Linked DNA regions of Drosophila melanogaster. The protein of the gene in region 2 binds, or shares a complex with, the protein of the main gene of each other region. Each region holds a gene or a part of one and is shown on either strand. Other genes may lie near its edges. A codon is read from its position in the direction of its gene.

Evidence for each region.
Region 1: the proteins of Dark (region 2) and Dronc are in contact, whole or in part, in a cryo-EM structure (PDB 8Y6Q), measured with the Drosophila melanogaster proteins. Residues at the interface, in NP_725637.1 of Drosophila melanogaster: Phe23 (codon at 7,469), Asp25 (codon at 7,463), Asn26 (codon at 7,460), Phe27 (codon at 7,457), Asp28 (codon at 7,454), Cys29 (codon at 7,451), Lys30 (codon at 7,448), Asp31 (codon at 7,445), Val32 (codon at 7,442), Gln33 (codon at 7,439), Leu61 (codon at 7,355), Val80 (codon at 7,298), Leu81 (codon at 7,295), Ile83 (codon at 7,289), Asn84 (codon at 7,286), Tyr85 (codon at 7,283), Lys86 (codon at 7,280), Phe87 (codon at 7,277), Arg656 (codon at 5,051), Lys694 (codon at 4,937), Gln696 (codon at 4,931), Leu697 (codon at 4,928); in NP_524017.1 of Drosophila melanogaster: Val39 (codon at 11,227), Gln40 (codon at 11,224), Gln41 (codon at 11,221), Gly42 (codon at 11,218), Ile43 (codon at 11,215), Leu44 (codon at 11,212), Thr45 (codon at 11,209), Val46 (codon at 11,206), Gln47 (codon at 11,203), Met48 (codon at 11,200), Leu49 (codon at 11,197), Arg50 (codon at 11,194), Asn51 (codon at 11,191), Asp54 (codon at 11,182), Lys58 (codon at 11,170), Phe60 (codon at 11,164), Gln81 (codon at 11,101), Arg82 (codon at 11,098), Thr85 (codon at 11,089), Leu89 (codon at 11,077).

What each region holds. Positions count from the first base shown.
Region 1 is NT_037436.4:9,966,398-9,980,228, reverse strand, and holds Dronc (death regulator Nedd2-like caspase), read right to left. Parts: upstream 11,751-13,831; 5' UTR 11,342-11,750; coding exon 10,895-11,341; intron 10,386-10,894; coding exon 9,480-10,385; 3' UTR 9,227-9,479; downstream 1-9,226. Other genes in the region: vnc (variable nurse cells), read right to left, coding at 6,363-6,953; CG42455 (uncharacterized protein), read right to left, coding at 6,978-7,135, 7,228-7,306; CG6674 (uncharacterized protein), read left to right, coding at 8,257-8,565, 8,627-9,019; CG6685 (uncharacterized protein), read left to right, coding at 11,935-12,124, 12,188-12,395, 12,449-12,542, 12,608-12,757. UniProt on the Drosophila melanogaster protein: Involved in the activation cascade of caspases responsible for apoptosis execution. Effector of steroid-mediated apoptosis during insect metamorphosis. Overexpression promotes programmed cell death.
Region 2 is NT_033778.4:17,012,386-17,028,935, reverse strand, and holds Dark (Death-associated APAF1-related killer), read right to left. Parts: upstream 8,910-16,550; 5' UTR 8,695-8,909; intron 7,547-8,694; 5' UTR 7,536-7,546; coding exon 7,146-7,535; intron 7,025-7,145; coding exon 6,387-7,024; intron 6,334-6,386; coding exon 6,210-6,333; intron 6,147-6,209; coding exon 5,956-6,146; intron 5,852-5,955; coding exon 5,607-5,851; coding exon of another isoform or gene 5,599-5,606; exon of another isoform or gene 5,548-5,598; coding exon 5,358-5,547; intron 5,285-5,357; exon of another isoform or gene 5,239-5,284; coding exon 3,645-5,238; intron 3,584-3,644; exon of another isoform or gene 3,578-3,583; coding exon 3,458-3,577; exon of another isoform or gene 3,403-3,457; coding exon 3,256-3,402; exon of another isoform or gene 3,192-3,255; coding exon 2,508-3,191; 3' UTR 2,233-2,507; downstream 1-2,232. Other genes in the region: Paip1 (Poly(A) binding protein interacting protein 1), read left to right, coding at 10,028-10,873, 11,137-11,970; Ehbp1 (Eps15 homology domain containing protein-binding protein 1), read left to right, coding at 13,884-13,987, 14,940-15,147, 15,209-15,390, 15,455-15,651, 16,162-16,550.

The DNA.
Region 1 (13,831 bases), on a different chromosome or scaffold from region 2:
CATAGCGTGGAAAATCGCTTAAATTAAGTTTTCACGAAACGATTGAATGTAGAGATATGGCTGCACTTTGAAAAATGTTGTGTAATGTATTACTTTTATAGGAAACTGCTGATTAGGATCATAACTAACTGCGGAAGTGTGGAACGAAAGCAATCTGGGAAAATGATTTTAAGTATATATGCATGGAAAAGATGTTTTCTTTTTAGGTAGTCACTTTTTTAAGTTTCTCTCAGTGTACTCGACGTTAACTGTGACACCAGCGATAACCGAAGTCTTGCTTGTTTTGTGCTCAACCCAACAGCGTCGAGAGAGTTGCGTGTTTATTTTTTCACCTCAGACCCAGAACCATTTTCATTTTTTTTTTCTGTTTTTTTTTTTTTTTCATTTTTTGTCACTTTCAGCTATCAGTGGGTGGATGAGTGGTTGGATTTCGAAAGCATGTGGCCCCAAAAAAGAAAAGGGGGAGTGACAGTGTATTAAAGAAACATCTGGCAGACCGCCCCCGTTTGTTTTGCCTTGCACGAGGCAACGCCCTTATCCTCGTCGGCCTGCTTAAATTTAATTTAAAGGCTCAAGCCGGACAAACAAGTGCACGTGAAACCGGGCGGGGGCGTTGTCCCTATTTATGGGCGTGGCTGCAACGGCATTGACACAGCATTGAGCAGCAGAAATTAGCGTGACCGAGCCTTAATTGTGGACCAAAGTGTGGGCCGCGATGGTGTCCTTGTTGGCCAACTTGGGGCCTCGAAATCTAGTGTAAACAGGTAGCAAGTCAGAGGGCGCAGTCGGAAATTTGCACAGACCTCTTGAATATTCGGGGCCATCAAGGGGTTAAGGCCTTTGTTGAACCCGACGCTTGAGTACGGAGGACCTTTGTCAGATTTAAACACTTTCGGACACTTGAGTTTGACACTCGTTATTGAGACTTCACTTTAAATTAACATAATTTCTCCTTTTCTATTTCGGTCACCCATTTTTATTTTAACCGTAGACCGACCCTTCGATTGTAATAGAAAGTAATGCGCTTTGTGCTTCGACCCGTTGATGATTATAACAAGTTTCATTTTGGTCGCCCATTTTATTGCTCAACCTGGGTTCGTCCATTAACCGAAATGAGCGCAATTCAAAATAATATCCGAAGGACCCAACTGGGATGACAGCAGAAACTTTCCATCCCAGCAGGACATTGCTGCTGATTGTTTTGCAAAGATTCTGGGCTTCTGAGATTCGCACCCGGGATTTTCGGGCCTTCGTATGGGGATTCGTTCATCGGCAACTTTCGGTCGTCCAAAAATCATAAATCTTTTTAATTTCATTGATCAACTTTGGCCGGCCAAAAACTTTTGCCTGCCCCAAGGAAAGTTTCGCACTCGACTCCCCCAGGGGCATATTTTGCCTGACAATTAAATCGATGGCAGATAAATATTAAACTTAAACTTTCAATTCATTGCTGCAAAATTATGTGTTGCTCGAGCTGCTCGATTTTTTTTTTTTTGATTTTTGTTGTTTTTTTTTTCGCTCGCTTGATGGAGCCGCAATAAAAATCATCTTTTATGGAACAAGAAATCCGCAGGGGATGCAGGAAAACATGGCGGAACCGGAAAATAAATAAATGCCATCGCATAAACAAAGGAAGAATGGCGAATTGGGTGTAGTTGTGGCTCCTACGGTCCAGATAAAGAACCTTATAAATTGAAACAAAGTGGACAGTGATTGGAAAAATCAATGGGGCATGCGGACAGTCGAACCCCAAAAAAGAAACTCCTTGGCGGTAACTTGTGAAGTTGAAACTAATACGAAAGTAGTCAAGCTACAAACATAATAAGAAAAAATGCCAATCCATATATAATTTAAATGAAACTATTGTTTCAAATTAGTATTTTTAAGAATTTAGTCAGTAATCCCAAAAACTTTAACAATTGCCTTGAAAAGGTACACCATTCAGCCATTTACCGCTCCGCTTTTCTTTTTGCAAAAGCACAAAACCTAATAACCTTATACGTCTTGAAGGCATAAGGGTCAACTTTTAATGAACATGCCCCCTTCCTTAGTAAAAATTCAGATTTTACAGTTCGTGTCCTTTGCAGCAGCGTTTCAAGAACTTACATATTCGCACTCGTTAATAACTTTTCATGTTGTGGCAGCACAGCATCCTCGTTCCTTGTTTCTGTAAATAAGTTCTGAGAAAATGTTTGCGCAGTATGCAAAACTTTTCGATTGTGGCAATCGTTCCTTGGGCGCAGCTCACGTGCATTCTGGGAATCCGATTGCGGAGTTGATTTTGAAAACTTTATAAATGGAGCAAAATATGTAATGTGTAATGAGTATCTACGATATTCCTTTGAATCCAGCCAGCCGAAAACTATTGACAGCAATAAATGCATTGGGCTGCGATTTAAAGGATTTAAAAGAACGGTCCTTGCAATCGTCGCCATTGAAGAAGGATTTACATATTTAAATATACAATATGCACAGTGAGAATGATGGTTAAATGGCATTTCCATTCCATTCATTTACTGGAGTCGCCTTTTACGAGGGGTTGGCTCATTTAAAGAAATATTTAATTTCGAGTAAATGAATTATAAATGCAATTTGCTGGCAGCTCTATTTCTTGTTTTGCCGCCGCCTTACTTATGATGCGTCTTTGTCCTCCGATGGCCCAGTCGGAGAATTAATTACGCCGCTGAAAGTTGATTCCCGCCATCCCGACGGGGATGCGGATCCGGATGCGGATGCGGAAGCCCTTGTGCCAATGCGACCACAACTGACCCAGTTGTTTAATTGAATTGAAGCCATAAACACTTGGAGTAGAACGACCACAGCCGCACAAAACGAGAACGCGTCGGGAATGAAAAATGGCCACGGCCAGGAGCACTCGCTAAATAACCTTAATTAGTAGTGCGAGTGCGGCCATCAATCACCTTTGCTTGCCTGCGTCAGAGAGAGAGATGACCAGAGAGCCGGCCAGCGGAAACGGAAATGGCAAGCGGAAACGCCAACGGATGCCACGTGGCCATTGCTAAGCATTTTGACAGCTGCGCCTGTCGCCTATGCAACAAAACACAGATACATTGCTCTACAGCGGATCAATAGGCATTCAAGTCTTATTAACTTATTACTTAAACTATCCTACAAGCATCATGCAAAAGTTCTTTGAAATTGTGGTCTGGCTATGAAACAAGCTTATGGATAGAACAAATAAATAAGATTATATGTTTTAGAGAATGTTGATTTGCCTATGTATATCGGAATTTCTTCAAGACAATACTTTTCTTATTTGTATTCATGTTCTAAAAATTAAGGAAAGGAAAAAAAAATAGAAAGGAGGAAATTAATCAAATTGCTAATTTCATCAACGTGGCTAGAAAAAGCAGCATTAAAAAAAACAAAAGCAGATGCGGTACCCTGCGCTGCTCTGCAAGAAAGCTGGCGTTTTTCAGCGAGTGGCAAGCAAAGTTGTTGACATCTTGTGAGCCAACACGTACCGCCAGTCGGCAGCAACAAAAACACACAGAACAGCACACAAAAAGTAGTAAACACTTGACGGGAGCAGCAGAAACAACACGAACAAACAGCCAGTAGTGCCAAAGAGAAGGAAGGACCAGAACTGAAGCTACGGCAAATGTTTGCTTAAAAATGATGCGAACCCCTACGAAAGAACAAGAATTTCGAAATGGGATGGGTTTTTGGATGGTTTTCTTGGTGGGCGGGGTAGATTGGGGGACTGGCGTTTGGGGATCGGATGCTTCTGCTGCCACTGACAGATGCAAGACGCGTTGACAGTGACAAAGACAATGATGACGACGACGACGATGGTTATGTTTGGGGCTCATCATCAGCAGGGCGATGAGGGGATGTTGGGATGGAGGCCAGCATTTGGCATAATCCTGCTGACAAAATGTCATTACACCATCCACACATAGTGGAGTTGCCTTTTGAAGTTTTCGGCGAAGGCGGAAAAGGCACTGCAAACTTAAATAAATAAATATGCCTTCCCGCTGACAAGTGAGGAAAAGTTCGTACAGATAGCATGTGCGCTGAAGTCTGTGTATTTTCATATCAAGGGAAAATAAGTTTTCAAGAGACATTTGCTCAAATTACAGTCATATTTAAATAACCCGAGAAATTGTTGGCGTTACTTCTGGCATTCTTGGCAAATTACTGCGAATGGATTTTTTGTGAGTTACTTGCATAAATGTATAGAATATGATAAATGTGATACAGTACCGCATTATCTATCTGTTTTCATTTAAACTTTATGTTATCTAGCCTAACACGTTATATATTTTTTTTCAATATAATTTGATGGAAACTTTGCAATAATTGGTGTAATGTAGCTGGTACCTTTTACTGCAAAGTGCCCGCCTAAATCCTGTTGACTTACCACAATATTTTTCGAAATAGTCCTTTTGCCGTAGTCTGGAGTCTGTTGCAGCTGCAGTTATTCCACTTTCCCCGAGGATCGCCAGTCACGCGAGTGGCCCAGTCATTGACAAATGGCCAGAGAACTTCTATTGTTTTATTTTTATTATATTTTACTTCTCTTCATTTTCAGAGCACTTTTCAATTGAGCTTTCTCCCGCTTCCCCGCGGAATTTGGCCTAGTTTGTTGTCTGCGATTTGGTGTTGTTTTCCAAATACATATTTATGTATGTATGTATGTGGGTTTTCCCCTGGCTTTGGTAGGCCTGCAGTTTTGAGTTACTTGGCACTTGGCTAATGCTTTTGTCTGCTTTTCTTCTGCTTTACTATGCTTTTCTTATGCTTTTTTCATGCTTTTCTGCCAGACGGGCGACGCAGTGTCTTTGCTTGCACTTGAGGAACCGTTATCTGGGTGGTGTACGAGTGTGCGAGTGTGTGTGCGCTTTTTTGTGTGGTTGAATTAGCGAGTGAGACACGAACTTTTGACCCCGTTTCGACAATAACAACACGAGAAGAGCAGAGGCTTGGCTTCCATTCTCCGGCTTTTTGAACCACTGGCCGGCTTTTTGGCTTTTCAACACCAAAAGCGCTTACATTTATGTCCGTGACTGTTTTGAGGGTTCTGAGGATTGCCCGAATGAAGGGTTTGCTGAAGTGCCCTGGCTTTTATTGATTTAGCAAGGCGTTATAGCCCGCAAATATAATACAAATCAGGCTCTCATTCGATTGGGGTTATCAATTGGCTTTAACTTTCGCATCAATAAAGTATGTTTACCGTTGGAACTTTAAGCACTTTCCCTCAACACATTCACAGTTCCATATGTTTAACGGCGCTTTTCACTAACGAATTGTTTATTGTTTGTTGTTTCCGCGTTTTTTATTGATTTGGCAGGGCGTTTTTTCCACAATCATAATAAATGCCAGTCATTTCCCGTTAGTTTTTTATAACCCATCAGTAGCAGTAGCACTACTTCCTTCGTTCTTCCTCTTCTCCCGTTGTAAAGAGTGGTTTTACCGTTAGGGTTTTATTAGCACTTTTCACTACAATAGCTGAAGTTCCGATTTGGGTTTTGCGCACGTTTTACGTAGCTAGCCGAAAACTGATAAAACATCCGCATACATGTTGTTTTTGCTCAGCCAGCGCCTCACGAACTGAGTTTAAGAACGGCGAAATACGCGAAAAGCCAGCATCTCAGCTCAGCTGTGATTGCGGTACTTTCGCTCTCTCTCTTTGGCGCCATCCGGAAAAGTACCGTACTCCACGTGGCTAGCGAACAGCTGTTGCCGCAGATGTTCCACTGAGCATGCGCAAAAGGAGCTCGCCGCGGGAAACTGGGAAATTAGAAAGCTCCGTTACTGGAAAATCGGTTTAGTGGGAACGGTTGCTAGCTATTTTCATATGCCATAAAAGTTTCTCCACCAACACGACACCTACAACTTGATGGCACCCAAAAGTTGGCGCGAAAGTCAACACTTCGCACATAAAGACATCTTTCCGCTTGGCCAACTTTTCGGGCCAACAAACTTTTCACATTACAAAAAGCGCACATTTTTTAACCCACATTTGGCATAAATTTTCGCATTACTTGGGTTAACCAGAGCTCTAGCACAAAAGAATGGTAGATATTATAAATTATTTGGGGAGTTTAGAAAACCACTCTCTTCTAAAACTCTACTCAAAATAAAATCAAAAAATTCGTCTTAATAGGTGTTTAATGCATTTATGCATTTTAGATTGGCAATTAGAAACAGAAACCGTAAATAGTATTATTATTACTGATTTAATGGCCTTCAAACCCTTTATTGTTAAAAACATTATCTTTTTGTCATTACTTTTGTTTTAATTTTAGTTACGTTTTTTATTGTTAAATAATTACAAAACCCTAATGCACAAAAATGCAAAAAACGTCGAAGCCAGCAAGCGCCGGCAGCGAAAGTGTTCAGCAACAATGGCCATCGTGACCGCTGTGGTTGTGCGAGTGGCCATGTCCGCCGGATCTGTGGACCGCCTTCTCCTCCTCCTCGCCTGACTGCTTCGCAGCCTTGGCCTGATCCTCATCGGCAAACTCGCTGAGGTCGCGTCGCATGGCATATGCATCCTCGCCATCGGCATAGTACTTGGGCTCCACCTCGATGATCTTGAACTTGAGGGCGTTGGTGTAGAGGTTCAGGGCAGCCCGATTGCTCTTCCTCACGTGCAGGGACACGTACTGGGCATTGAAGCACTCGACCATGGCCTGGGAGGCCTGATTCATGAGCTTCTGGGCCAGGCCCAATCGCCGATAGGAACGCTTGACCGCTAGCGAGGTGATGTGCCCATGGCGGCTCTCCTCATTGGGCTCCGGCTCCTCCATCTTGGCCAGGACATAGCCCACAATGGCGCCCTTGTCGTCAACGGCCACGTAGCTAAGCTGAGGCCAGGTTAGTCCGTGGTAAAAGTAGTACTTCATCTGGTAGTTTTCGGGTAGACACAGCAGATTGCAGTGCTGCATGGTCATTAGGTCTTCCGGTTTTGCGCAGCGGATGTTCATGGTGAGGCTGTGTAGATGTGCTTCCTAGTCTCGGCGAGCTTTCCTGGCTCTGCCGTGGTGGTGTGGCTGTTGATTCTGATGATCCCAAGCAAGTGGTTGCTGATCCTCCGGCTCCTCCTGACCCAACAGCTCTCGAACCAGACGAAATTTCGATAGAAACGCCTTCCAGATGAGGAACCAGCCTGCAAAATAGACAAATTTCAATATGACTTGTTGCTCGGATCGTAGAAAATTGTTTCCATTATAACGTGATCGTCTGCGGGCGCCTGCTTACCCAACAAAATAATTGCTGCGACGATACTAACAGAGGCTAATATGGTGAAAATGAAAGCCAAGCCCGTTTGCAGGGACATTCTAACGGGGTAGTACGAAATCAGGAAACTATAAGCATTAAACTATAAATGAAATTTGAAAATAATAATTAAAACTACTTGTCAAAGGGTTTAATTTTAGTTTCCAGCAGCGAATTAAATGTTTTTTCTCCCTATTTGGATTGCTATCACAATAAAGAACAGCTGTCCTCTGGGTGTGGCCGTTATTCAACACTGAATGAAACCAGGGATACAATTTCTTGTGCTCTTTTTGTGGTAATAAGTGGGATATTTGCAAAAATTAACAAAAGCACAAATAAAAATATTGCAATCAAATATATTTATATTCTTCTGGCAATCTAAAACTTCTGCTTTTCTAGTTTTAACATTTATTTAAAAGACCCTGGCACAAGTGACTTTAGTTGCCACCAAAAACCACATGGGGTTAGAAGTTCCACTAAGCTGTCTGAAAGGCCTTTCAATAGAAGCTGTTCGATGAATCGTCCTTTGAGACAGGCACACTATACACATGGTCACGCCTTTGGGTTAGTTTTATTCAATATCCACCTGGCTGTTTAATTTATTTATATTCGCGAATGAGCACACTTCTTCCACACTAAGTTTATACACCGGCACCAGTCTGACCAGAGTTTGCGTGGGCCGAAATTCCAAGATATCTTAGTTTGCAGAGAATACCAATCATACTGCTACTATATTGAAATAGAATGGGATAAATTCAAATCTGTTAATTTACGTTTAAAAAGTATTTTAACCCTATGATGTCAGTTAACTCACATAGTATAGACTAATCCATAGAAAAGGAAATGGTTTAATAGCTGCCTTAATAGTCTAAAAATACTGCACGTTACTAAAATACTAGATGAAAATACAAAACGGTAACTGTGAAAACAGCTGATTTGCAGCAAACAAAGTTACCTCTGCAAACACAACGCATTTAAGCAAATGCCATTTGTGCAGTTTAACTAAGTAAAATGCAGGAATTTTCAGCCAAACGAGACGCTCTTTTCGCATGTCTCGACGATGCGAGCAAAGAGTTGCGGGGAACTGCCTTGGATCAGAGCAAGGCCAAGGCGTTTTCCATCAATGCCCTCGATCGAGGAAACAAATCCGGAAACGAATCCGGACAGGTGATGAACTACCGCCAGGGTCGCAGCATTGTTACTGGCCTCGATGCGGAGGATGGAAGACTGCGACGAATGCGCGGCAAGGAGAGCATTTTCAAGAAGCCCGAACTCCCCATTGGACGCTGTTTGAAGCCAAGAAAAACGCCAGATTACCAGGTGACAGACCATCCCTCTGCAATTAGTTGTCCCCACCCTAAACGTTTGACCTACTCTCTAGGTAAACCCGCACAAATGGAAGAAGTACTCCCTGTCTGATGTGGACATTTCCGAACAGAGCAACTCCGCCGCCGCCTTGTCCTTCCTGCGACAAATGGATGCACAGCGCGAGGCTGAGGGCGTCGATAACGAATCTCCACCTACAGATGGCAAGATCGAGTTCAAGAGGACCAGCAAACTCAGCCGCAAGCTCAAGAGCCTCAAACAGCAGGAGGTGGATGATGTGGAGCTGGATAAGCCGCAGTTAAGAGGTTCCAAGCTGGTGATGCCTGAGTATGTAATTGGCCAAAAGCCGCATAAGCCAAAGAAATGCAAAACCAAATCGGAACAGAGCCGTGCAGCGGGAAAACTACAACTGTCCCACTTGGCGGAGGAGGATGAGCAGGATGATTAGGTTAAAATGTATGATCCTAAGATTATATTATATAATAATTAGTGTCCCAATGAAATTTTAGAAATGTAAATAGATTTTAATTATATACAAACTGCGGTTTGTTGTGAAATATCATCGTTTATTTTGTAAGTGTACACACTCAAAAATCAGACTGGAAAATTGCTTTACATTTTGCCTAAATGTTCGATTTCAAAAATCTGGCTGTGTATATACTGGAACTCTGTATTATAATATTTGTAGATTTCTGGCAGTTATCACATAAATTACATAATTTCGTACCTTTAAATGAGGTATGCAATACGTATTAGAAGAATACTTGAATGAGTATTTGTTACAATATAAACATTTTATAGCACGCGAGCACAGAACACATAATCTAAAAGACATACTAAATGCGACGATAAGAACATAAATGCGGTTAAAAATGCATCCGGAATGATAAAATGTCCAGTGGCGGCAACTATTCGTTGAAAAACCCGGGATTGAAGTAGAGTTTCTTATTAAAGCCAAGATTATCATAGGCACCTGTCTGCATGGAACCCTTCTTGGTGCGCTTATTACCCACGGCTTCGCTCGTCTTCTTTAGGATATCCTCAAGGTCTGTGTCGTGGGCATGATCGGCCATCACTTGGCAAAACTTCTGGATGTACCAGCTGCCCGTGTCGAGATCGCGGTGGGTAACATAGCCCGGCGTATTAGCATAGCAGACCAGAGTGTCGGCAAGACTTGGCACATTGGTGCTCGGGCTGGGTATGCCCTCCGTCTGGGTGTCAGGCCACTTCTCCTCTTGCGCCGTATACACTGGCTCCATGAGATTGCCTTGATTCTTTGGATGGCCCAAATCATATTCATCGCCGCGGCAAAAGGGAAACATAAGCACCTTCGGCTTGTTCACCAAATAAGGACATTTGGCCGTCTGGAAATGGTCCTTGATCTTCTGCATATCGACCACAGATCCATCGCAAAACTCCACCTTCTCTTTTCCCTCCACACTGTTGCCGTGTGTCATCAGTACCATTACGAAACACTCGGTATTCTGCACATACGACGAGGAGGTCACCATTGTCAGAAGTTTAAAGAACTGATCCTGATTCACGTTCCCATAGGGGAAAATCGTAAAATTCAGTTCTTGAAACAAGTGTATCAACGACTTGCTGTCCTTTTCGGCTCCGATCCGTCGACGGTTTTGATCCGGATAGTCCATTATGTTAACCATTAGCAAAACGCCTCGGTTGAAACGTGATTGCATCTTATATGTGCCCAATATGGCACTATCCCCACCATGTATCTTTTTCGATTTTTTTACCTCGGGACCGTCAACGACACCCACATAAGGGGTGAGTGCTCCCAGCGGCTCATTCCGGAGCTTTGGTAGGAGAGAGAAAGAAAGAACAAATTACAATAAAGATAAGATTTTCAATATATATATTATATTTTCATTGCACGGTTAATGTGGCAGACAAAGAAGTAATCAACATTCGTGCTATATAAACACAGCTGCCAGCAATATTGCGATAAGATTCTGGTTAAAAACAAATCCTACTAAAAGAATAATTGGGATAGGTAAGTAGAATGGATGTGATTCATGCTTCCAAAAAAAATGGAAAACAAGAATCTCATACACGAACTAACTTCTGAAAGAGAAGCAAATAATACTGTGCACATGTACCAAAGTAGTATTCATCATTGAGTCCATTTACAATTCTTAAAGATACCTTTTCTAATCTCATTCCAATAGGAATAACTCAATTAACAAACCTAAAAAAAAAAATGCAAATAAATTGTGCCATAAACCGGTTTTTTGTAGAAATCAGGGTCAATGACCTGAGCTGCAATTTCACCATCAAAGCTTTCGTATGATTTTATTTTCATTACCTTGCTAACGCAGGGTCCTTCGGAGGCTTCGGGTGAGGGTGTGTCCACAATATCGGCCGACTTCCGGCTGGTTCTCCGTTCGTTTAGCGAGATAAAGGGTGGCCTTGAATCGGACTCATCGACGGATTCCAATAGAACGGCCGCATCCAGACAATTGATATTGCGCAGTGCATTGATCAGCAGGTTATAGGCGGTGGGACCACGCTGGGTGATCTTCAATAGGAGCCTACGATGCTGCTCCACACGCACATCCTTCTCGTCCATGTTGAATGGCTTGCCATTGAGATCCTGCGTATTTCTTAGCATCTGAACGGTTAGGATGCCCTGTTGCACGCACTCCATGGCCAGACGCTCGTAGTTCGTCCATTCAACCAGTATATTCAGATTCTTGCGTATATGCTCGCGATGCCTCTTCGGCATTCCAATCTCGAGCTCCGGCGGCTGCATTCCGGATATGGCTTCCACGCGTTCCGGTGACTCCGCTTATTGGGCGCGCCAAGGATGGCTGCCGTGATCAGTCTCCAATTGGCAGTGGTATTGGCAGTGAATCACCCGTCTCCAAGGTTTTCCCGGGAATGATTTCGTTTATCGCTACTTGTCGATTCTTTGTCTCCGCTTTGTTGTTGTCGTCGTTGTTTTTGTTTTGCGACTTTCAAGAAAGGGGCACAAATCGGCGGCCCTGCTGGTGTCCTTATTTTTCCAAAAGTAAATTAACTAGTCTATATATTGCACTAGATGATCCTAGCAAGGATCGGGGATCTTCGAATAGGATTTCTTTCGAAACAAAAGGACCAACGAGCGTTTCGCGCCGCCAAACTCGCCACTAAACTAATAAATGAAACTTTGGGATTGGTGTGGCTGCTTGTGGGTGCGCCATTTTAACCAGAGAACGCGTCCGGGATAAATCCATGACATGAACCGTCTCCATGTTCCACTTATTCCACCATTCCTTCATTGCCGCATCAAATGATTCAATTTAATACTAAATACCAAATACCATATGGGGTCAGCCTAACAAACCGTAAACATAAACAAAAGAAATGGAGGAGGAGCAACAATTTACGCCGGAACCGAAAAACTCCGCGCAAAAAGGCGCAGAAAAGCCTGCAAGGATTCCGAGAGAGGTGAAAGTTAAGCTGCAAAGGCAACTAAACAGACTGGGCTACTCACAGCAAATCCTGCTCGAAGCAGCCAAGCAGCAAAATCAAAATAATTCGAATGGCATTCTCCGTGAGTTTTCTTAAAACATGCATAATGCAATAAAAGTACATTGTCCCCCAATCCCTTTTCTAGAGTATGTGGCCGACATGATTGGCAAGGGCGAGGAAATGGTGAAAAACTGCGACTCCGTTAGCTTAAACAACATTAACCAGTGGCTGGAGCTCATGAAAAGTTCGCAACTCGCTGAACTCTGCGAATTCGAAGCAGCCGTCGTTGTGAACTCCATAATCCAAAATGAGACAAAGCCATCGCCAACGGAACTGAACGGCATTGACTTGAAGTAGGAATGGTTTTGATAAACTACATTTGTATTTAGCATTGTGGTACTTTCAGTGAGGCCTACAAGTTTCTGGAAAACGCTTTGATGGGCCAGCCGCAAAAGAAGATGAGCGATGCGACCAAAGAATTTTTGTCCAAGGAAATTGAGGTGAGCAGAAGGCTGCATCAACTTTCCAAAATAGTTAAAAAAAAAGGAAATCCTAATGCCAACAGCTGCTCATAGAGAAGGCAAACACCGACGAATCCGACGATGTGGCACGCAGCATGGGGCAGCGTTTATTTGACCACCAGTTTTTGGATTACATGGAACAGCGGCAAAAGTGCAGTTTGGATCCACTATTCCTGGACGAGAAGCTAACGTAGAGGCTGTTATTGAGTAATTGAGGAATTTAGCACACAGAGCATTTATTCATTTCCACACATTTATTAAACATTTAAATTCAATTGTTTGTTACATACGTACATTGTCACACGCATTTGCACCGCTCCATTATCATCAATCAAATCATCGGATCCCACGTTTATACATTATTAGTATTACTATGCCAAATGCCCCAACCTTTGTACGTATTAATATTTGATAATTACACTCTTAATTAAGTACTTGACTATAAACAGTTTTAGCACATTTAAAATCTAGAATTCCTTTAGTTGTACACAATTACTTCGAGTAGTGTAAGAAAAAGTTGTGGGTCTTTGGCCTTTGGATTCTCTCAATTGCATAACATTTATTGTGCATGATTGTTTTCAATTGTTGGGGCTGCCAATTAGCATTGCATAGACTAGTGTAGAGATAGGTAGTTTAGTTTTAGGTTTTGCTACGATTAGCTTTGTTTTAAACTTTAAGAGGCATAAAAACAGTTGAGTGCTGCTTGACTCCCATAGCATCACAATAGAATCACAAGAGACAGAGTTGGCTTCATTTCAATTCAATTCATTAGAGGATCTAGGATGGTACACTTACGATAACATAACGTACATACGATCAGAATTACATACAAATTCGAATACAAATATAATACCCTTTTGTTTTAGGCGCAGTTACTAGCACTAAAACGATCTTCACACAATCAAATGCAATTCAATAATGTACATAATATAACTCTTAAATGTTCAGTCCAGTTTGAGCTTTTGGTTTTCCCCTTTTTCTTTGATTTAGATTTTGTTTTTAATTTTTTCATTTTTAAATTTTTTTTTTTGTTTCTTGTGTTTAGGTTTCTGTCTTGTCGCGTAAACATTAATTAAAATTAAGTAAATCTAATTATATATACGTACGATTAAACGCTAGTAAACCATATCGATATGCTTGTCTAAGGTGAAATAAATAAACAACAAATTCGGACCGAACAAAATGCAAAGCAATTTCAGGTGCATGGCAAGGATATGCTGGAGTTTCAGGATCAAATTAGCTGGCATTAACCAAACGCAGATCCAACG
Region 2 (16,550 bases):
GCATGCGTAAGCCACTCGAAGTCGGAGGATCCCGTGGAGTATTGTTCGCATTGGTGTGGGGCCAGTCACCAGAAGTGGTTGCGGAATGCTTTCGGCAGCTATTTTTAAATTAGCTAGTAAAAACGGGCCGAAATGAATCCAGAAGTGATTTAATTGCCTCGATTTTCGTTGCTTTAGTTCTGTTTTATGATTTTTTGGTTGCACTATTCCAATGGGTTTTGATATGTGTATATATATTTTGCACTGCTACTTTTCACTTAAACCTGTGGGCACACAAAATTCGTTTGAAGACATTTCGGGCATTAATGCATGTACATTAAAATATTTGTTTGCATTTTTTTTTTTTTTTTTTGAGTGGGTGGTGAAGGGTTATGGGGGATGGGGCGGATCGGAGAGGGTTCAAATGCAGGCAGCAATCTCCTTGCAATTTCATTGTTTTTATTCCAACACAGATAACTGAACAGCACACCCACACACTCACGCGCAAGCCATACATATTCCAATGCCTATGGCTCTCTCGCCGCGCTCGTTCTCTCTCACTCTCTCTCGTAATCTCTTGCTTTCTCTGTCACTCGCAGGCAGCAGTTGTTGCTGGTTTTATTGTTGTGCTTTTTGCTGACTAGTTTTCACGAAACATTTAATGGATGACGACTTGGGGTTGGGGGAAAACAAGTTTTTGGCCGAAAAATTGAAATACTAATGCTATACTAATGGGTCAGAGCGGACACACAAGCAGGAAAATTCCAGCGATCCTTTCCAGATTTGCGTATTTTCCATTAGAACAGCTGATTGTTCAATTAATCGCTTGTGTTCAATTAGCGTGACGAAAACCCAAAAAGAAAAACAAAGACTCCCTCTCTTTCTTTGAATTTGCACTGATCTCACTGTTTGTTTACCTAAATAAATCAATTCTTGCAGTTTCACTCCTTTTTAATTAAACGCAAATATTTAATTGAATAAATATGTATACACACAAACTGGACTGACTGACTGACTGAGTGTGTGTGGGGGTGCGAGTGCGATCATCGCCGCAAACGCAAAGGCAAAACAATATGGCTGCCGCAAGCCACTTGTTAGAGAAAAACAAGGGATTCGAAGCCTCGGAAAGCGTCCAGTTGTTTATCATTTACTCATTAATTCGATCGCTTCCCGCTCCGTCAAGCCGCACATCCCTAAAATCGAATTAAAGCCATGTACTGCAGTTCAAGAGTTCAGCACTCGACGCACTCACACACGCGCGTCGCTCACTAACACTCACTGCCACCGATGGGCGAGTGTGGAAAATAAATACACATATGCCGTCATACATTCGATGCCCCTATAAGCGCGCTGCGTCTGTCTGCGTGCGATGGGTTAGAGATCATTTTTAGACAAATTTGCGTACAATATTTCCTGGCAGTTGCAAGCTCGCGATTTTGCCATTGACGAGCGTGCACAAATGCACTTAAATATGTATGAATTTTACGCCAGTGTGTGGGTGCGCGGAATGCATGTAGTCACTTTTTTTATTTATTGCTTTTGTTGCTGCAGTGAGCTCACGCGTAGCGAGTTGCGCATCATTCTTTCTCTGCTTCGCCACTTTCGCCACGCACTTACTTAAAACGCACTCGTATTGTATTCCATAAAGACACGAAAAATGTTTTTATTTTTTTCACTTATCGCGCCATCAACACGCACACGACGTTCTTTTCTTTTCAGCTTGAAAATTGGAATGAAATGACGAGAAAGAGCGCATATCTGCCAGTGTTGAAAAGGGCTTTAGTTCGGTACGGAATTCAGTACCTAAAACTGGTACAAACAAGGTACCTTGCCGATGATACAAGTTAGCTATTGGTTTTTATTCATTGTTTTAAATGCTTCTTAATATATTTCGTACGTGTGTTCATTAAGGCAATGTGTGTAAATCTTAGCTTATAAAAATTATAGCCCAAACTTGACTTGAACTTTTTAATAAAACCAAAATGCAAACATTGAGGCCAAAGCCTTTTTATTAATTTAAGTCAGCTTAGAAGTAGACGAGCCACAATCCAGATACGTACCTATTTATTGGACCGCAACACTGATATCCATACACGAACTTAGCAGCACTGTCCCGGGACCAATGCTTTTGCAACACTTGATCTGGCGTGCCTGGCAGAAATCAAAACAAACGCACAGCACAACCACCCACACAGACATGCATGCATACATACATACGGACAGCACAAAGAGCAGACAACAAAACCGCGTTCTGTGTTTTTCGTGAAATGTCGTTTATTTGGTGGCGGTTACTCGCGTTGACAAACAAAGGCAGGGCAACGCACCCACCGCCCTCTGAGATATCATACTTGGTTAGCTGCATACATTCGCAAATGTAAGCGCCAACAACTAATGTTTGCCTAGGACAAATCCGGACCCAGGAGGTAGAAGAGCAAAACCATCAGGTAGTAGAGCAGTAATCCTATAAATGCCATGTTGTAGTTTGGACTTTCCTGTTTCGTGCGCCGCCTAGGGACGCACTTCTGGCGTCATGAACTGGCCTCCTCCAGAATTGGTGTCGCCCTCGCCACTCCGCCGTTCTTCTCCAGAACCAGGTTGCCAACTACATCAGCACCCTCGCTATCCGAATCCTGCATAAGTGGGCTGTCGAGAATTCGAAGATTTTTTAAGTCTTCATACTGATTGGCAATATCCAACGTAACTGGGTCAGGTGGAGGTTGAAGTCTGCTTAACTCCAGCAACTGCAGATGGTAGTAGACACCCTCGTCATCTATGGCATAAAAGTGGGAGAAGTGGGCGTCTGTGAAGAACTGACGAGCTTCATTTCCCACAAATTTAACGCAGGCCAGGAGTTCCGGACGGATGGCATTGCCGCGCTTATTCCGCCACAGTTCCGCAGTCCCTCGGTTCACCGGATGAAACTCGTCGGCAACGAATGTCACATCTACATCGATGTCCGCTGCAATGGGCGCCGCATCCACAGCATCCTCTTGTGTAACACTGTGCTGCTTATGGCGTCGACTGCGCCGCCGTTTTTGCTCGCGCTCCAATTGATTGTTGCGCATGTGCGTCACATTCCAGAAGCACAGCTGCTCCGCGCAGCTGATCAGGAGCAACTTACATGGCGAGAATAGCAATTGCCGGATGCAGTGCTCGTGGACCTCTTCAATGCTGTAGATCAGTTGAACTTTTCTGTTTTCAACGGCAAAGAGCTGTTGGGAAATGTATAATTAGCAGGAAATAATTATGAAACGAATTTGTAAGACGTATGTATACCTCTAAAGTGCCATTTTCGAAACCCATAGCCAACATGGTACCATCATCCGTGGCTACCAAATAGCTGATCTTGGCCTTCTGGGCGATCTCTTCTTCGCAAATCTGTTCGTACCTTAGTTGGTTACAGCTGAATATTAAACGGAATACCTGTCGTTGGAAATAATTGATAATTGTTTAATGATATTATGTTTAGCAAACCCACATCGATGATGTTGTTTTCGTAGGCCAGAAAGAGAAGACTGTTCTTTAGATCAAAGCCGACAATGTATTCCTCCGAATCCTTTGGTTTCACGAATGCAGATGGGTTAGCTATATCCAGATGCTGTTGGTAAATATTGAAATCAAATACTGCACTTTTACTCGCATAAACTTCAATTAAGAACACTCACACAGACTCCGTGGTCGGAAAACAAAATGATATACTGTCCTTCCTGCAAGGACGCGTACTTGGTACTAACATCCATCATCAATGGCCACTGGTCATTGGGTTGCAGCGGATCTATCTTTTCCAGCTGGAATATCACAGTCTTCTGGGCACTGTGTGCCGACGCCACCAGAATGTTGGGACTGACCTGTTTGAGGTAATCAATGGGCTCCTCTATAAACTGCTGAGGTAGCGCTGTATCATGAATAACATCTATTATCACTCCGTCCACATAGCCAACGAAAATCTGTTCGTCGTTAAAGGCGGATATGGCATTTATCTTACAGTTACTGGCAGCATGAGTGGGTGTGATTGTGGACCATTCGGAAATTCTAGAAATGGCCGGTTTAATTAGGTGAATGCGCTCCTTGGAGTCCACAGCCAGAAGTTGCGTCCGCTCTCTGGTCATGTCCATCAGAGAACGCAGATAGACATTAGGCTCCAAGCAAGCCTTTGTCATCACGCTTATCTCATCTGCACTGTGAACCCAGGCGATTTCCCTGTTTTGATGTGAATTCGAGCCGCTTACAGAGCGCAATGTGTGCACATGGACCACCTGTTTTCCCTTAGCGCCGCACAAAACAATGTACTTATAGACAGGATCAAACAGCTCGTATATATCCACACACTCTATATGTTCGCTGACATTGCTGCGTAGCACGGGATCAGAGATTTTCAGATCATACACAATAAGTCCCTCGGACGTGCCCAGCAGTAGGTAACGTCCGTCAGTCGAACGCTTTCCGCAGGTGATGAAACTTCCTTCTGGCAGTTGCACTGCCTCCGATTGCAAACTAACCGAAAGACCTGGCAAAAAATTGAGCCGCCATACGCTGTACTTAAAAATCAGCAACACGGTGGCGGTCTTACTCCTTTCGTCAAATACATCTAAGGCCAACGGCGTGTCGTTTTCGACATTAAAAACATGTAGTTCCAGCGTATTGCTGGAACCGTTGGTCAAATCCCATACAGTAAGTGTGCAATTTGAGGTGCAGACCACGTAATATCGCTTTAAAACCTGAACGAAACACCGTATTCCCGACTGCATCGTTTTCAAAACAGGCACGTGCGACAGTTTGAACTCCTGATCTTGTTCGTCCCAATTCAAAATACTCACATCACCATTGATGAATGCCACATGCAGTTGGATGTTGGCCTCTGGCAATCCGGCGTCTTCATTTAAATAGAAAGCAACAATTTTCAGATTTGCATAGCTCCCTATAAAGCGTTTAACCACGCTATTGACTAGCTGCTGCTTGCTACCACCACTGTGGCGCCTTCCTGGACAATCGGGCCACAGGGACCAAAGTTTTACGCTGCCGTTGCAGTGCAAGGTGATCAAGTGCTTCTGTTGGTTAAATACCGCCATACGCAGAATGTCACTGCTGTCGCTCTCGTCCCTTAGCAAATAGGTGTCCTCTCCCTCCAGCGAAACATCGGTTAGCAGGATCTGCCCGCTGGCCAGCGCTATCAAGCAAAAGTCGTTGTGAAGGTAGACAGCATGGCGCCCCTCATTATCACCCAGGTTTATAATCTGACGGTGCTGGTGGAAACGACCGCTGATAAAAGGAAAAAGTGAAATAATAATAATAAAGTAACTTTAATATATATACATTTCATTATTACTAAAAATGACAGCTCTGTTTGTTTGATTAGTCAATAGCTGGTAAGTACTTACTGGTTAGTAAACCAAACCCGATCGTCAAAGCGCTGCACTTGTTTATGGGCTTCTTCAAAAATCGCCTCATCCTCGGCCATCAGGGCAATCCTAAGCAGGTCCGTATACTTTGAACAAATAAGATTTTCCTCAATCTTTGGCAAAAAATCCAGAATAGCGTTGACTAAGCGCTCATACTTTGGGTCATTGTCTGCATGAAAAAAAGATTACATTTTTTTTTTGTTTCAAATGATTCAGAAATTTACGTACCGCAAATATATGGCTTGTAGAACTTCAGCTGCTGTAGCGTGTTCAAGATCGATCCACTGGCATTCCAAGCAGTTGAATCGTGCCGAATCTTTTGTTCTAGAAAACGGAAATCTAAAAAGACCATGCGAAAGAGAGTCATCCGTTCGGGGTGCTCAATGTTTTTTAGATGATGACCGATGTGGCTATAGAAGTATTGGTCCAGGTAAGGCGGTATCAAGTCGTCGGAATCGAATGTTTTTGGGATACTAACAAAAAGGTTAAAATCACTCAGTATACGGCTTACTCGTGGCTTAAGGTTAATACATTTTAGCAAAAATTCAAGATATCAAGAAAAGGGCTAGGAACATACTTATAGTGATCTACGATACTCCGATGAAGTGCATATTCGTTTTCAAGCTTGACTTTCAACTCCAAGTATATGCTGGGTATACTTATGGTTGACTCTTTTGGTTGCTTCTCCACCAATGAATATTTATGAAGTTTGTTAACCACTACCATTACATCGGATTTGATAACATCAAACCATATCAACGATAGGAGCTGTTCAACAGGAAGTTGATAACGATTAGTAGATGTATGCCGTAAAGTGCAGTGCTCACTTACAATAGTGGGTATGTGGGCTGATGGAGGGAAAACTGACAGTCTATCAAACATTTTTCTATATTCAGCGGGCTCCAGAACGTTTAGAGAGCTCTCAATGATGGTCGTCAGCTTATCACAGTTTACACTACAAAAAAAAATTATGTATTTATTCAGTGTGAACACTCATAATCCACATACTGTTTCCAGTTGTCCCAGGTCGCCAGACCATCCCGAATGCTCTCAGCAATAATGCTTAGTCTGCGGGGATTCGTTGTCAAAACTTCCCGGGGCAAATCCTGTGGTCGACAGTCGAGGTACTTTAGAAGCAAAGACTTAACCTCATCCGGCGTAAGCGTCATCGAATGATGATCCAATGAAATATGAGTTGTGGTAGCTGCCGAAAGAAAGTCAGTGACCTGCTTGAACCGTGTGGTTAGCAATATCTTGCAGCTCAAGTTGAAAGCATTCCAAGCCTTGGCATTTTGCACATTAAGCAGAACAAGGAGACAATTCTCGTATGGCTTGCTCTTGAGCAGTCGTCGCAGTTCCGCCTGAATGCTGTGGATTCGAAGCTTTATGTTACTGCTATGATCGCTACGACTTGTCCAGTTGGGATCGATCTGGTAAAGTAATTTCTGCAGCATCTCTAGCACGGTCTCCGGGCTATTGCAGTTCTTCAAGTTAAGCCAGAAGATCTTAAAGTCCATCTTGCATTGCACTTTGTACGATAGGCACACATCCAAGGCTACCCAAGTCTTTCCCGATCCCAAGACGCCATCAATCAATACATTTTTCGCTGGGCGAAGTTCTAGAAGAGCCTGCCTTAGCTTCAGATACTGAAATATAAAAAGTATTGTAGTATGGTTAGATAACAATTCCACAGAGTAAAATTGTTTTTCGGTTTCGTACGTTGGACTTCTTTGATTGTTTTTTTTTTCGAATGGGAGATTATCATACCGGTTGCAGGCGGCTCACATTGTACTTGGCGAATACTTGGTTGTCGTTGTACAGACGATCTCTCTGCTCGATGTACATCCTGGTCATCATGCTGGGCTGCCGTTGCTCAGTCTTGATTGGCGACATTAAGAATTTGTAGTTGATCCTGAGAACTTCCTCCACAAATTTCTGGACCATTTCCTCCTGTTTAGAGAGCAGTGTCCAAAACAAGCGAAGTGTGCCGCTGACTGCATCCTTAGACATGATGATGTGGTCAATTTCCTCCTTGGACAATATTGATTTCGGCATATCCTGGACATCCTTGCAGTCGAAGTTGTCGACGAATGCATCCTCAAACACGGACAAAATGTCCTTGTATTGGTATTGGTGCTCCCCAGTTTCAAAATCCATATTCGTGTTACCTACATATGTAAATATTTATATAGTAACTAAATTTTATAGCTATGTTAGAAATAATTTATTGGCATTGGGTTATTTTTTGTGGTATTTTCATTAATTACAAAAGAAAATGTTATAGTCGAGTTTTCCGGCTATTAGATACCCGTTACTCTGCTGGAAATTTTTATCTCATAGAAATTCGAAAACAAAATAAATAGAAATAAAAATTAAAACGGTTCAAAAGTGTGGCCGTGACAGTTTTGAGCAGTTTGTGGGCGTTAGGGTAGGCGTGGCAACATGGGTGAATAAACTTGGGCTGCGTCTGTATCTCTAGAATCTGTATTCTTAATATCAACCTTCTAGCTTTTATTGTTCCTAAGCTCTCCACGTTCACACTAACGCAACCAGATCGAGTGTTCTAATAATAAAGCTGAATCAAATCCGAATCCCTGTCTTCTCCTTGGTCGGGCAATCACACAAATCATAAATTTGGTTGGACCAACCAATAAAAACTCAGGTGCAACTCTTAGCGAACAGAATCAAGAAAATCGAAAAAAACAAATCAAAACAAAAAAATGTTCATTTCAAATGCACATATGTATGCATGTATATGTGTACATACATATGGCGGAATTTTTGGCGCCAAGCTTGGCCCACTTTATTTGAATGCACCGTAGACGGCTTCTCGAGGAGAGAAATGCGATACCATGGATCTATGAGATCCCTTATCTGCAAGCTGAGATCGACTGGATCATCGGTAATTTCACAACTAATCGACAAGGACGCGAACGAGATCGCCTCTAAATAGCTAGGAATACGTGAGCTGGCGGTGCAACCATCGAAAAAGGCAATTCCGGTTGCATTTTTGTTCTCCTCCGCTCGTCAATGTCGTAGAACCAAAATCGGATCGAATTATTAATCACCAGTTAGATAAGCGCGTAAAGGCAGAGAGAAGATACGTCACTGAGTTTGCCGTGTGAATGAACTTGTTATGTTTGTGTGTAAGTGCTCTCGCATGCAATTGTTTCAGTCACACACACAGTGCCTTGGATTTGTGATTGACGGGGAGGCACAAGGCCCAATGGAAGAATTAAACAAATGGACTTGTAGAGCACAGAAAACGAAAGCACTACAGGTACATAAGCTTTCACCTGCACGCATATTTACTTACGCTCGCCGTTTATTTTTAACAAATCGTCGTCCTTATTCGTATTTTGTTGTATGTGTAAGTATTGCACTTTATCCTTAATATATAGTTGCTCCGGCTTGTTCACATTGTTCTAGCACATTCTAAGCGAAACACTAAAGGCTTGAAAAAATATAAATAATGTACTAATCTATGCTACTCATTGAGTAGTACTCAAAAAATAACAAAACGGAATTTATTCGACTGTGTGACCGTTTTACGCGAGGGAAATAATATCGAATTATATATAGGGTTGTCAAGTGGTTCAAAAATGATTTTAATCGTAATCTGAATTGTAATTCGATATTATATTGCGTGATTTAAGATATTGAGAATTTGTATATTCTTAATAAGAAATACAATTTACATTACGATTAAATTAATTTTTGAACCGACAACAAATAATATATAATAATAAATTCTTATTTATATATTAAGAATTTCTTATTATATTTTAATATATATTATTTGTTATTAGTTATTAATTTGTTATATATATGCCACCTTATATATATATGCCAAATATATATCTCTTTTCCAACTAGATCTAAGATTATAATAATACCATGATTTTCTTGTACGAAATGAAGTAGTTTATCTAATGCTTATTTTCTAAAAAACGGTTTAGCACTTATTACTTTATTTAAAGTGTGACCATATTGAGCCGTATCGATATATCACAGACAACAAAGGTATTCACTGCCAGGTAAGTTTTCACTAGCCACTTGCGACCACACCGACGGTGAAAAGGCGAAATAATAAATTTTAACAAATTGCCGCAGTGTAAATTAAAGGTGCGTAGCATTTTACATTCCCTTTCAGCGGTCACCGGCCGTCCCGCCCCCGCACCGTCCAATTTAACATTTTTTACGGCCAGTAAAACGTGCAATCCCACCCAAAATCAGACACGAAATTCGGAGCAGCGCATCAGAGACGCAGACGAGAAAGTGACGACGCAGCAAAACGAAGCAACAAAAACGAAAATCGGCGACGTACACATTCAACTTGAACAAATTTAAGGTAGGCATTGCAATTTCCCCACCACCACACGGTAGAGTCGGATAGGTCGTGTCCATTTCAATGGGAAACACCGACTGACCCGGCTGCGGAAAATAAAGAGATAAAAAAAGAAAGGCGACAAACCAGTGGTAGGAAAACAAAATGTCCGCAACTCTGTCTGAATCGGCGTCCCGAGGCTTGCAAACGTAACCACGCTGGGGAATGCCCTGGCGAATGTGATTTGTCTTTATTTAGATAAACTAATCCTCATCCATTACTTTACTCTGATTGGTGATTTGCAGTTTTCGAGTCCAACGCAATGTCATGCCGCGCCCCCTTCCAGCCCGACGATCAGTATGAGCAGCTGCGCCGGCCGAATGTCGGCGGAGCAGGCGGAGTGGCCATGCCGGGACTGGATCAGCAGGCGCATCTCTTTGGGGAGTACGCCGGAGCGCAGGCGTACGGTCAGGTGGTTGGCAATTTTCCTGTGCAGGCCATGCAACCCCAGGCGCAGACTCTGTCCGATGCGTCCAATCTGTCGGCCACGGCCACAATTTTCATCCCTCGAGGAGCTGCTCCCCCGCAGCAGCAGTCGCGACATCAGCAATACCAGCAGGCTGGTGGAGCCGGTGGAGGAGCTCCTTATGGCCAACAGCAGCCGCGCTATGTGAATGGTTTTAAGCATCACCATCAGCAGCACCACCAGCAGCCGCACTACAACCATCATCACAATCATCAGCAGAAGTTCAACAACGATATGCAGAAGCTAACGAATTCCGTGCAGAATCGCCTGCACCTGAATAGCCAGCAGGGCTCAGCCGGCAACTACTATCAGCAGCAGCAGGTACACCAAAACACACACCACCACCAACAACACCAGCAGCAGCATCAGCCACACAACCAACACGCCAAGTTTCAACGGCACTTCCACTTGAATAACTCATTCCAACAAATCGTACAGCAAACACAGCACAACCAGCCGCAGCAGCCGCACCACCAGCAGCACAACCAACAGCAGCAGCAGTATATTCAGAACCAGAATCAACAACCGCAGCCATCCACTTCGACTGCGGCGGCCTCCTCGTCGTCCTCGAACTCTTCGCAGCCGGACATGGCCACCATAGCACTGGAGTATCTTGATACAGTCATACATTGCCTTAACCAGGTGAGAATTTCGATTGATAAGCTATCAGGGCAATTATGGGCTTCCTTTGATTTATATTTTTAGTGTTTTATGATTATTTAATCAATTTTAATAGGTGTCAGCTTAATATTTTCTTTAAATATAACAATATATTTAAAATCAATATATTTATGCTCGAAAGTAAAAAAAAAAATCAGCTGAAACATTTCAGTCTAGTCAAACTTAATCTTAAGTTTTAAACCTAAATTTCCTACTAACCAGACATATTAATGATCTCCATCCAGAATCCGGGCCAATTTGATTCGATTGCATCACGCTTCCTGACCATTTTCGATGGCATGGAGAACAACCAATTCGTGCTCTCCATCGCCATGGAGGACATCTTCGAGAAGTCGATCGAGCAGCCGAACTTCCGGTACATGGGCGCCAAGCTGTACAACCTGCTGCACATGCTCAACTCGAAGCCGGACTCGCTGTTCCACACGCTGCTCAAGTGCAAGCTTGACTACCACCAGGAGGAAGTGACCAAGTACATGCGCTCCAACGAGCAGCAGAAGGTTCGCGAGACTGCCCTCTTTCTGGCCGAGCTGTACATGCAGTTGCGCGGCGACGACGACTCGCGCATCCAGTTGATCGCTGTGAATATTGTATATTCGCTGAGTAAGCTGCTGGCCAGCGAGAGCAACGAAAATGTTCGCTGCCTGTGCCAGACCCTCAAGCTGGCTGGATATGATCTGACAGCCGATTGCCCCAAGGACATACAGGAGATCATCACCGCCCTGCAGGCGATCGAGCTGAAGTCGCCGGGCAAGTACCCCATGGCGGCAAGTGTAATTGCCCTGCAGCAGAACAACTGGGGCAGGAAGGTGTCGAACGCTCTGGGAGACGATGAAGATACAGTGAAGGAGCCGCCGCGCCTGAGCGATGAGCCCGTCTTCTACGGACCTGATGGCCGCGAATTGACTGCCGAGGAGACCGATTTTCTGGCCGGCGGGGATAATGATGGTGATGATGACTTTGATGGGGATGGTGCCGACCTAGAAATCGACGCGGAAATGGACGAGGAAACCGAGCGGGCATACAAGGAGTTCTGTAAGCAGGGCAAACAGAAGACCTAGACGACTGTGGAGAACTGTGTTGCATTGGACGGATTCATGAGGGCGTGGTCGTTGGCAGGATATAGCTTGGGTATAGGAGGGATGGTGGAGAGCGTAGGAGTGGAGCATTTCCAACAAATTCTCGGTTGTAGGATCGATGATTGCAGTTGCTTGGTTCAGAACCAATTGTGATTATCTTTTAAATTATTGATAGCAAATTGTTTGTGATATCTTCGTGTTTCATGCACCTATCATAATATGACATGTGTTAATGACTTTGTTCGAACGCTTTTTGTGTGATACGCCCGTTTTGTATCTCTGATAACTAACTCTCTGCCATGATAGCCAGTTCATTCATTCAGTTTGTACTTTTTAACTTGAATTAAATAAATTTGAATAGTCGCGAAGCCAGGATTTCGACCGTAAACGGTAAAAGAAATATATATATATATAACTATAGCCACTGCCACGCCGAAGTGAACCGCTGATACAGACACACACGCAGCTGCACTCAAAGACTCGTACTCATATGCGCACCCACACACTTGCATGGCACATATGCAGACCCATAAACGGCAGAAAAAAACAAAATCGCAAATTTCACATTCAATTAAACGACATTCTCTTGATCATACAAATCGAAAAACGAAAGAAAAAAAAACGACAGCAGCCACGCCTAATTTTTAAATAATTGTAATTAATGTTAACGAATCCATGATTTAATTATAAATAAAATTTATCGAATTGCGTTTAAAACAAAATCAAATTGAGCGATTTTATTGAAACGGGAAAGAAGCCTGTTCGGTTTTCGAACTAAAAGCGGTTATATTTTCGTTATTTCTAATTATGTCGAAAGAGTCGAGTATATGATAAGTGCAAGCGGGGTTTCGAACCTTTCGGATGCTATGACTAAAGGTATTGTGTTGATCTATTGCTGCTGTTTGTGATGTTTTTAAAACAAATACATGAGTGCTTTAAAGTTGCTTTATAGCTGGAAGAACTAACAAACCTTTTCAACAAAAACAATCGATATTACCTCACCGCCTAAAACAACAAGCGCATATGTTTGGCTTATCGATAGTCTGGAGCTATTGCAGTTTGTCCACCTCTACTCAATCTGCTCGCGACAGTAAAAAAAAATCGGATCGAAGTGTAAATCGGTGTGAATTAAATTATTCGCTGTGATGTGATAAAAGCTAAACGGCAGCGAGTGCTCGTAATAAACGCGCAAATGTTCGGCGTAGTGTCCCCAAATCGAAGGACCTTGAAACGAAATTGGAGACCAAAACAAAAGTGACGTCATAATGGTGCTATTTATGTATTTGTATGTACGTCTAGGCATCATCTATGTATACAAATTTCGCTTAAAAATTTGCCAGTGAGACGCAAACACACAAACACACGCCCGCAGGAACAATAATAGATAAAAACAAAACTAGCAATAAGCTGTAAATCTCGAGTATTTATAAGAAATTCAAGAAAGACAAAGGCAAAGTGACAACTAAAGGTCACAAAACAGCGAAAAAGAAAAACAAATACAACACAACACAAGAACTGTGCGCGCGTGTGTGTGCGTGTGTTTTTTGAGTGTTTTTGCAGACAACAAAGCAACAAAATTCAAAAATAAATTTACAATAGTGTTTTCCGCCTTGCACACTCTAACTTTCGATTTTAAGAGGGTCTGCCTTTTTTTTTTGGTTCCCTTATGAATGAACCTTGTAAACTGACCCAGAAATTTATAGCATATAACCAGGCGTCTATATTGTTTTTCATTCCGCATCCAGATCGCCTGCAGAAGTTAGCTGGTAAAAATGACACAATAGATTACTGAAAAAGCAAAGCAACGACGATCCAAACGGGTCTAATTTTTATACAAACCCCAACACCCCCAAAGATATCCAAATTAAAGAGCCCTACGATCCACACCCGCTAAGATGGCCAGCGTATGGAAGCGATTGCAGCGCAATTTCAAGCGAGCCGCCAAATTCCAGTTCACCGCATCGTACCACGATCTGCATCTGGAAACCACCGCCAAGTGGTAAGTGCCCCACATGAAAGTGGATTAGTTCACCGGGAGTCGGCTAAAGTGGGCGGGGCGGGTCGGTGGCGGTCTTAAGTGCCTTTCAACTTGAGGGGTTAATAGCACGTTTCTGGCGGAAAGATATCTCGTTTTTAGATTCCTTTTTGTGTATCATTGAAATCAATATATTTTTTTCCGTTTCCATGTAATTTTTGTGTTTCTTCAAAAGAATATCTTCTTATTAATGTTTATATTTACTTGCCTTATCTTGCATTCGCGTCTATTTTTATTAATGAATATATACGTATATATATTTATGCGCAAAAAATGTGTAGACCCTACTGCAGTATCATTTGTTGAAGTTATAATATTTCTTATCATTTTCAAAGAACAAGCTAAACAAACGCTTATAGTTGAAGATTTATTTTCCCTTCATATACAATGATTGTTTCATAAATACGATAAAATATTGATATGACTAGTTACTTGACCTTTATTACTCTGCACCTTTAATTTACCTTTATCTAAATAAGTACATATTTCGGAGAATATCATTGAGCAACTAATTATATAGTTTAATTCAATTGCCGAGAGGAGTTAGTCATGCAAATAAATTAAGCAAAATATTGAAAATAGTATAATATTGATGAGGCTATTGGCTACTGAATTCCATGACTACGAATTTATAATATAGTCGTACTCCATTTGCTATCTATATCTTTGTATTTGCAAATGACCCCAACTTTTCCTGTTGACATGAAATGTTTTGTACAGACTTTTGTTTAATAAACCAATCATCGCATATATTTATCAACTGAAGAACCCACATATGCATATAATGACGCCGCATCCGGTGTTCAGAAATTGTTATTCATGGTCTTGTATATAAAATACATGATCAGAGTTGAAAGAACTTTGAGAAACCAATTTGGCATGAAATGGTTAACAATCATGTGATGGCCAATTTCAGGCGGCCGTCGAACCTCTCTATCGTTTGGACCAGAAGATCTAGACGAGTGGCCAGTGCTCCTTTGCCATGGGAGCCGGACATGATGAACCCCTTGGTGGGCAATATATCCTGGCCAGTGCCCGACAATCACACCATATCCGTCACCCTGTTTAAGGATCCTCGGACACACGAGCTGGAGGACAAGGACTGGACGTTTGTCATCGAAGATGTGGGTTAAATAATGTCATGGATGCATAGAGTTGCCAGTAATTGGTGTTACCTTCCATTAGGTCACTCCAATGGGCAAGAAACGTGTGCTGGCCAATGCCAGCATTAATATGAGGAAGTATGCCAGCATAGAATCCACTCAGCAGAGCTTTACCTTGAGCCTAAAGCCAGTCTCGAAGAAGATTACTGCAGCCAGTTTGGAGCTCACGATTAGCTGTGTATTTTTGCGAGAAGGAAAGGCTACGTAAGTCGACTGCCCTTTAATTATCTACTTAGAATGGAGCCTCACTACTAAGTTTCGATTCCAGAGACGAGGACATGCAGAGCGTTGTCTCCATGATGTCCGTGAACAACAATGATGTGGCGCCTTTGGATGACTTGGAGGATATTCCAGATCTTGATGGCTTTAGTGAAATTACGGACAATTTTAATGACTTTACACAGCAACTGGAGCATATGACAACTAGCCTAAATGGCTGCATTGATGTGGCCACGCCTCAAAGTGGTAAGAAATCTTGTACTATAACTTAAAAATTATGTTCTATGTGCTAAAATTCAAGTATTTGTATCTGTTAGTATGTAAAATGGACTAGATCGTATCTATTATGTATATTGAGTGCTAAACATAAGAAGCAGGGATTTTAAATATTGTAAAGCTCTGTTTTCGTTATGTAAGGCACTTTGGTTAAGTATGTTATATACCCTGTAAATGTTTTCTGATCTCTAGATCAGAATTCCCAAACTACGCATCTAATGGATACCATATATGTACACTTGATGATGCATGATCTAACAAACAACAAATTAATTGATTCTAATTATAGCATCTTAGCTTTAGATACTTTGTACAGACACTTTTATCTGACGGAAAACGAAATTATTTCCTTTCTATATCCCATGACATCTACATCACATCACGTATCTTGAATGGTTTCCTGCAACTTGTAATTTGTGCGTAAATTGTTAAATGTACATTTCCTTTATTTTCGTTTTCTTTTTGTTTGTCATTATGTAGTACCTTCGTTATCAGAAGATCCAACTCCGTTGGCCGAGTCATTTAATCCCTTGCATTTTGAACTAGACGCCGACGGCAAGCGGGAAGCTGCTAACAAGTTAGACTTGCCCACAGCTGCATCCGGTGGTTCTAGTGGTGCTGAAGAGTCCCTGAAAACGCCGAATGGATTGCAGCATGTGGTGGACCAAACGCCAATAAAGTCACCAGATGAAGTAAAGCAGCCAAAGCAGACGCCGGTGGAGTCATTGAGGTCCAAAACTAACGAGGACTTTGACAAAATGGTCACCTCAACGCCACTCGAACCCAACGTAAACAAGGATGATGTGAAGCCAAAGAAGAAGAGGGCTTTATTCTTCACTGAGAAGGAGGATGAGCAGGACTTAAGGGTG